Linked DNA regions of Schizosaccharomyces pombe. The protein of the gene in region 1 interacts with the protein of each later gene in a pairwise test. Each region holds a gene or a part of one and is shown in the gene's direction. Other genes may lie near its edges. The genes, in order: kms1 and hrs1.

The links.
Region 2: the proteins of kms1 (region 1) and hrs1 interact in a two-hybrid assay, tested with the Schizosaccharomyces pombe proteins (one study listed by BioGRID).

Annotation. Positions count from the first base shown.
Region 1 is NC_003424.3:3,460,585-3,464,724, forward strand, and holds the start of kms1 (protein Kms1), read left to right. Parts: upstream 1-2,313; 5' UTR 2,314-2,480; coding exon 2,481-2,543; exon of another isoform or gene 2,544-2,674; coding exon 2,675-3,114; exon of another isoform or gene 3,115-3,160; coding exon 3,161-4,140. UniProt on the Schizosaccharomyces pombe protein: Has a role in karyogamy, recombination and segregation during meiosis. Although it has been shown to associate with the spindle pole body it is unlikely to be involved in its formation or maintenance.
Region 2 is NC_003423.3:3,455,393-3,458,992, forward strand, and holds hrs1 (histidine--tRNA (His) ligase Hrs1), read left to right. Parts: upstream 1-1,772; coding exon 1,773-3,464; 3' UTR 3,465-3,520; downstream 3,521-3,600. Other genes in the region: myr1 (N-myristoyltransferase 1), read left to right, coding at 1-18, 89-213, 277-1,167, 1,211-1,408.

The DNA of each region.
Region 1 (4,140 bases):
AAGAGAAAAGGAAAATAACTGTATGGAAAAGATATCCAAACAATTCGGAGAGCTTACCAAAAGAAATCACTGTATCGACGAAGAACTTCACGAGTGTTAGAAGAATCAGATATAATATAATTATTATGGCGATAGAAAAAGTAACCACTAGGCTCAAGGTCAATGTCAACATTCATTTCCAAACTAGCGGGAAATGAAGTTGAACTGGAAGCCAATCTAAACGAACTATGTCTACTGTTTGACAGTAACGGCTGAGTGGAAGGGGAAAGGCGATTAGGAATCTTCGAAAAGGGCTTTCTAGGGGTAATAGCATTATCATCGACAGAAGAATCAACGGAAAATTTTGGAGGTTGTTGCGAATGTAAGTTACCTGCTTCTAAAGTCGAAGGTGCAATGCTGCTGACAGTTGAAGAAGGATAGGAAAAGAATCCTTTCGGCTGCTTTTGAATATCAGGAAACGAACGGATGATGCTTTGCTGAGCGTGAGGGAGGGATTTATTGGAGACGTCGTCATCCTCTTGTTCTAAAATTTTTGATTCATTAATGGAAGGGACAATGTTGGATGAAAGATTCAAGGCGGTTGTTGAAGCAGGAGGAGAATTATTAGGAAAAAGAGGGGTTTCATTATCAGAACTACGATTGAAAAGTTCCGGATTAAAACGCTGCAAAATGGGCAGGACTAAGGAGGAGGAAGTAAGCAAAAAGACAAAAAAAAGCAAAGATAAAAAAAAGCCTTACCATTTCTTTGCTTGAAAATCTGTTCCAATGTGCTAGGAACACCTAATTGATAACAGGCAACCAAGGCAAGCAAAACGAAAAACTGAATTTGCCGTAAGGGTTGATTGCTTGATGATTCAATCAAGGTAAAGAACTCTTTCATTACATCTTGAGGAACATGAAATATATCAGAATAACTTTCTTCTTCTGGAAATAAGAGAACATTGTTTGCTTGAAACACGTCCCAATAATTTCGATATTGCAAAGGAATGGATGAATTACCTATAGACAAAAAAAAGAAAAAGAAAAAGGTTAGCATCATTACAGTAAGTAAGTAAAAAAGCAAGAAAGATGAAAAAAAAAAAAATCAAGCTAAAGAAACAAATCAATGATAGAATGCATCGATCCGTAAAATTAACTATTAATTGAGAAGGAAAAAACAGAAGAACAAAACTTTTACTAACCAATTGCTGTTTTATAATTTAAAGGCTTCACTGGTGAACCCCAATTACTGCTAGATGCCCATGGATCAGGCTCTAAAAATACATTATCGCCCATAAATGGAAACCCCGATGTTCTCTATCTTTTCGATGATCACTTCGTACAAAAGAGAAAGAAAACAAAGAAGATTTAATAAAATTTGAAAGCTAAGAGAGGTCCAATTGAAAATGTACAAATAATGCTGCTAGCAAAGAATTCTAAGCTGACAAACGAATTTTTCAAATCTTCACGAAAGTAAATGAATTTTCTTGTCTCTTGCACCAGTTAAAAATAAAATGATACGAGAAATAACTAAACTAGCGTACAGAGGTTTCAAAATATGTAAATGGCAGAAACCAGGTTTTACACGCTCAAACACATATACATATGGACAGTGTTAATTTCGCCAAAAAACCTTTGACGTCACATCGCTCGCTTCTCATAAAGTAACATGCTAACCAACTGTTTTGACTGAGTAGTAGCTATATAGAAAATGTAAATAGAAGACGTTTTCGAAAGAGTTGGCTAAATTGAAAGAAAAAGAAGTAATTTCTGTATTTATTGCACATTCTTGGATGAAAAAATCTGACCTTTTCTATGCATTTCTTTTTTTACGATCAAAACCTTGTATTTTTTAAAAAGTACAATATATACGACGTTGATTGACTAAAACGATTCAAGGATCAAAATATAAGTTAAGTAATCAACCAATCTTATTTGGAGTCTATGAAAGATTCTTGGGCGATCGTTGTTTGACCCGCAATTATAAATGCTGGCGTTCTAAATTACTGCAAATTCGCTTGAAGTTCTCAGAGGAATCGATCGATCTATAAAACAAATACGAATAGTTTCTACTTCACTAAAAATAATTTTTTTTTTTTTTTTTTTTAATTTGCGATTTCATTTGAATTATCACTTAAGTATGCACAGTACGACCAAGTTGTGGCCTTACTTTTCTAGCTGCTCTTAAATCAAGCATAAACATGATTTCTTCTAACATCTTTTTATCTATTTTCAAGTTTTATTTTAATCCGTCTTTTTCTGTGTACTTCTTTTTGGTCTCTCAAACCACTTGCTCAACAGCCCTACTGCCAAACCCTTGGATAGACCTTGCACGAAACCCAACTCACAACACTTAAGAAATGCGGTGAATTCGTGAACTGTTATGAAATGCACGCAGCTTTATGATAAATTCTAACAAAAAAATTCAAAACTGAATCCCATTCCCACTAGAATTGTGGTTCGTTTCCTGTATAATTATAATTGCCAGTTCCCTTTCCAAAATGCTAAATGAACGCGATTTTGACTTGATTTTCGATTCATATGACTTTAAACATGAAGGAAAAGTATGAAAAAAATTGATTGCTTATGCAGGTAGATCTTGTTTATTGAGTCAGAGACAAACTCTCAAGACTCTGGTTTTTCTCGCTTTACCCAATTACCAATAGGATAAACTATTAACAAAAAATTTTCTTAGGTTCATCTTTCCAACTTTTTGCCAATCATCAATGACCTACAACTCTTACATCCCGCTTCTGCACCACCTCTTTTGAGCGAATTCCAAAAACAATGTACACTCGAATTCGTACGGCAAAATGCAGATCTCTCTATTACAAAGGATAATTTTCGAGACGTATATAAAAAACTTACTGAAAACGAAGATGACTCTTTTGCGAATCAAGCTGAAAAGCCTTCGATGGAGCAACAGAATTCCAAAAATTCTATCAAAGAGGATGCAAATGAACACTCTGTCAATTCTGCACATTCAAAATCATCTTCTAATGCCTCTCCTGAATCCTTAAACCCTTCTCAAATGATGTCTAAGAGACTGTCCTTGCCGCCGATGTCTCAATTTACCGACAGTGATTTTGTCAATATTCTTCGAACTCCATTTGCCCAATCTACACCACTAAATAGGTAAGAATTTTTTTTTTAGAAAAGTCATTAAAATTCTAACAAGAAGAAATACGTCGTCCAGAAATACTGAGATGCCACTTGTTAGGAAGGATAAACCTGATTTTTCCAACGGGCACCATGATCTAATCAAGCAAATCACAGAACTCCAGGATATGTTAGATAAAGCTCGAGATCAAGCTAGAAAGAAATCTCGTACTGTAGATATTTTAGAAGGAAAAGTGAATGAACTTACCCACCAACTAAATATGGCAGATTCCAAATATAATGAATCTAAGGTAGCCAATAATTCGCAAAATAACCAAATTAAGACTCTTAAGGCTCAAAATCTAAACATTCACAAAAACTTTCAGAAAATTCAGTCAGAACTCATACAGACAAACTCTGGCCTCTACTCCACAAAAAAAGAGCTTTCAGCCTTGCAAGTTCGGTATGCCACTCTCTTGCGTAAGTTTACAGATCAGACTAAGAAAATTGAGGAATTAAGCTTGGCTGCATCTCGGTCAAGTGAAAATGAGAATACTATTCGTCGGCTTGCTTTAGAGAACCATGAATTAAAAAATTCTAATAATCAGCTAAACAACCACATAGATGATCTTACTAGAGAAAAACATTTAATTGCTTTGTCTAATAACCCAAAAGGAGATGAATTTTTATCACCCTCTAACCTTGACGAAATGGTTTACTCCAAAGAGGTTGGCCTTTCTTTCACTCAACCATCAGTTTGCATTTCTATTCCTGCGGTTGGAATGCGGGAAAGTGAAGAATTAAGAGAATTGGAATTTAAATGTAAACAACAAAAGAAAACGATAGAAGAATGCAAACACATAAGTCAATCATTGCAAAGCTCTCTTACTGCTGAAAGTTCGCGAAACAAAGAATTGGTTGCTGGATTTTTGATGCTTTCAGAGGAAATTGGTATCCAAAAATGGATTATTCAAAGCCTTTCCAAAATGTCTCCAACCCTAAACGACTTTTGTCGTCGGTACGATTCCTCTATGCCAACATATGAAGAATCAAGCCACGAAT
Region 2 (3,600 bases), on another chromosome or scaffold:
AGCCAGTTCCTAAGTTTGGTATGCCTATCCTGGTTTGTTGAAATATACTCTGAGATTCTTTTATACATATTAATGCTTACCATAATAGATGATGAATGTACTCAAGAAGGCCCAATAGATCCCAATACCGATATAAACCAGGTTCCTAGAGAACCTTATCGTTTGCTAAAAGAGTTTGAGTGGGCAACTATTGATGTAACAAACGACAATGAGGTTAGTGTAGTTTGATGTTTTCTGCTACGTATTAAGAAGCAAAACTTGCTGACATTTCTATAGTTATCTGAGGTTCATGAACTCTTAACTGAGAATTATGTCGAGGATGCTACGGCGATGCTTCGGTTTGCATACATCTCAGAGTTTCTCAGGTGGGCCCTTATGCCCCCTGGATATGTAAAAGAATGGCACGTCGGAGTACGAGTAAAGTCCTCTCGTAAGTTGGTAGCTTTCATTTCTGCTGTTCCTTTAAGTATTAGGGTTCGTGACAAAATTATTAAGAAATGTGCTGAAGTGAACTTCTTGTGCATACATAAAAAACTTAGAAGCAAGCGCCTTACTCCTTTATTAATTAAAGAAGTCACACGTAGATGTCATCTTGAGAATGTTTGGCAAGCTGTTTATACAGCCGGTGTATTATTACCCAGTCCCGTGAGTTTGTCTCGTTATATGCATCGTAGTTTAAACTGGAAGAAACTGTACGATATAGGATTCGCACCTTTTCCCTTGGGGTCAACGGAGAAAAAGGAGACTGCAAAATATCATTTACCTCCAAATACTCAGACCCCGGGTTTACGTCCGATGGAGTTGAAAGATGTACCTGCCGTTCAGTCGCTGTTATCTCAATACATGGAACGTTTCGAACTTGCCCACTTATTTTCGGAAGAGGAAGTGCGACATTGGTTTTTGTACACTGACAAGGTTTCAAGTGGCCCTGTTGTTTGGAGTTACGTTGTGGAGAATCCAGAGTCCAAGAAAATTACCGATTTTTTTTCGTTTTACTCTTTACCCTCAACTGTAATAGGAAACCCAAAATACAAAGATATTCAAGCTGCATACTTGTACTACTATGCCTCTGATTCTTGTCCAAAAGACTTATCTTCTGAATCACAGTTGGCATTCGTTGAACGTTGTAAATTGATAGTTAATGATGCTCTTATATTGGCTAAAAAGGTAAGTTTATATGGTTTTATTACTTGCTAATAATTCAAAACAGTTCCACTTTGATGTATTCAATGCTGTTACGGTTTTGGATAACAATCTATTCTTGAAGGACCTAAAATTTGGAGAAGGAGACGGTTTTTTGAACTATTACATCTATAATTATAACTGTCCAAAAATTCCTGGAGGAATCGATGCTTCTAAAAGTGTTGATTATTCGAGGCCTAGTGGAATGGGTTTTGTAATGATTTAAATCCTAAAATATTAAAATACATTATTTTTGATTTTTTTGAGTGTTTTTACTATTTTAAAAAAGTCCATATTTTAAAAGGTTTTTTGATATTAAATTTTTACTTATAGAACTTGTCATTTCACAAATATTAGGTTTTTAAATTTATAAAAAATATATAATAACTAGTTTTTATTTTCAAATGAAATTATCCCACTTGGTTTGCATAACATAAAATCCAAAAAATTTTCAATGTTTCATTATCCAAGGTTCTATATTTTTTTCTTGGTTATTTAATCAACATGACAAATGGTTTCATTAGTCCTTCAATCACCGTAAAATGTATTTAAATGGATGTAATACTGAGATTTGCATTTTCAGTTAGTGCATGTTTGTTTTTACCAAAAACCTATTCACCACCAAATTTTCGTCTAGCCTCTTAAATTGGCGTTTCTTGAGAACTATGGCTGATTCTCTAGTAGATATAAATGAAAGAATAACTTCACAAGGAAATCTTGTTCGATCTTTGAAAAGTCAAGGCGCCTCTAAAGAGGACATTGATAAAGAAGTTGCTAAATTACTTCAACTGAAAAACCTCAAACTTGGGGGTTCGGAAGTATCAGGAAAGAAAAAAGACACATCTTTTACACTGAAAACTCCGAAGGGTACTAAAGATTGGTGTGACAAAGATGTTGTTTTACGTGAGCACATTTTTTCAACTGTCACAGAGATATTCAAGCGTCATGGTGGTGTAACACTCGATACGCCAGTGTTCGAATTGAAAGAAATTCTTTCCGGAAAATATGGAGAAGACAGCAAGCTAATTTACGATTTGAAAGATCAAGGTGGAGAGCTTTGTTCTTTGAGATACGACTTGACTGTTCCATTTGCTCGTTGGTTAGCTATGAATCCCAAAGTTACGAGTATTAAGCGATTCCATATTGCAAAGGTTTATCGAAGAGATCAGCCAGCTATGACAAAAGGCCGTATGCGTGAATTTTATCAATGCGATTTTGATATCGCTGGCAACTACGATCCTATGATTCCCGATTCTGAAGCTTTAAAGGTTTTAGTGGAAGCATTAGATGCATTAGAAGTTGGAAATTATACTATCAAGCTTAATCATCGAAAAATTTTGGATGGCATTTTTACTGTTTGTGGTGTACCGGATGACAAAATTCGTACCATTTCCAGTGCTGTGGACAAGCTAGATAAACTCCCTTGGGAAGATGTCAGACGTGAAATGGTGGTTGAAAAAGGACTTAAAGAGGAGGTGGCAGATAAAATTAAGGAGTATGTGTTATTAAAAGGCGACCGCTCTCTTTTAGATAAGCTTGAAGCCGATAGTTTACTATCAAGCAATAGCTCGGCTGTTGCTGCATTTAACGACATGCGTCTTTTATTTGATTATTTGGAAGCTTTTGGAGTGTTAGATAGGTTTTCATTTGATATGTCTCTAGCGCGTGGTCTCGATTATTATACTGGTATCATTTACGAAGCAGTAACAGAGGCTTCTGCTCCAAAGATTAAGAGTTCGGCGGAAAAGAAAAAATCTGCTGATCCTGAAGCAGATCGTTCCAATGATGACTCTATTGGCGTTGGTTCGATTGCTGCTGGTGGACGTTATGACAATTTAGTTGGAATGTTTGCTGCAAAGAAAAACGCCAAAATCCCTTGTGTTGGCATTAGCCTTGGTTTAGAGAGGATTTTTTCAATTCTTAGATCAAAAATTCCTGATGAGGATATCCGTGCAAATGATGTTGATGTTTTCGTTATGGCATTTGGAGGTGGAAAAGAATGGACCGGCTTTTTGAAAGAGCGTATGTCTGTTTGTAAAGACCTTTGGGCAAATGGCATTAAAGCAGAATTTCTTTACAAAGTGAAACCCAAACCACGTCAACAATTTGACGCCGCCGATAAATTCGACGTACCTTTTGCTGTAATTTTGGGTCAAGATGAGTTTGCAAAGGGATCTGTTCGTATTAAACAAATGGGTTTAAAAGAAAATAGCGATGAAGGTCAGCTTGTGCCACGTGAGGAAATGGTATCAGTTTTGAAAAAGTTACTTAAATACGATTAAATATTCCTATAGCTCAATAATAATTATTGTATTATTTGATTGTTATCTCATCAATATTGTAAGTATTAAATAAAGATATTAAAATCGTATTTTCTGCAATCAAAAAGAGCGGTAATCTAAAAAGTAAGTTCTGTTA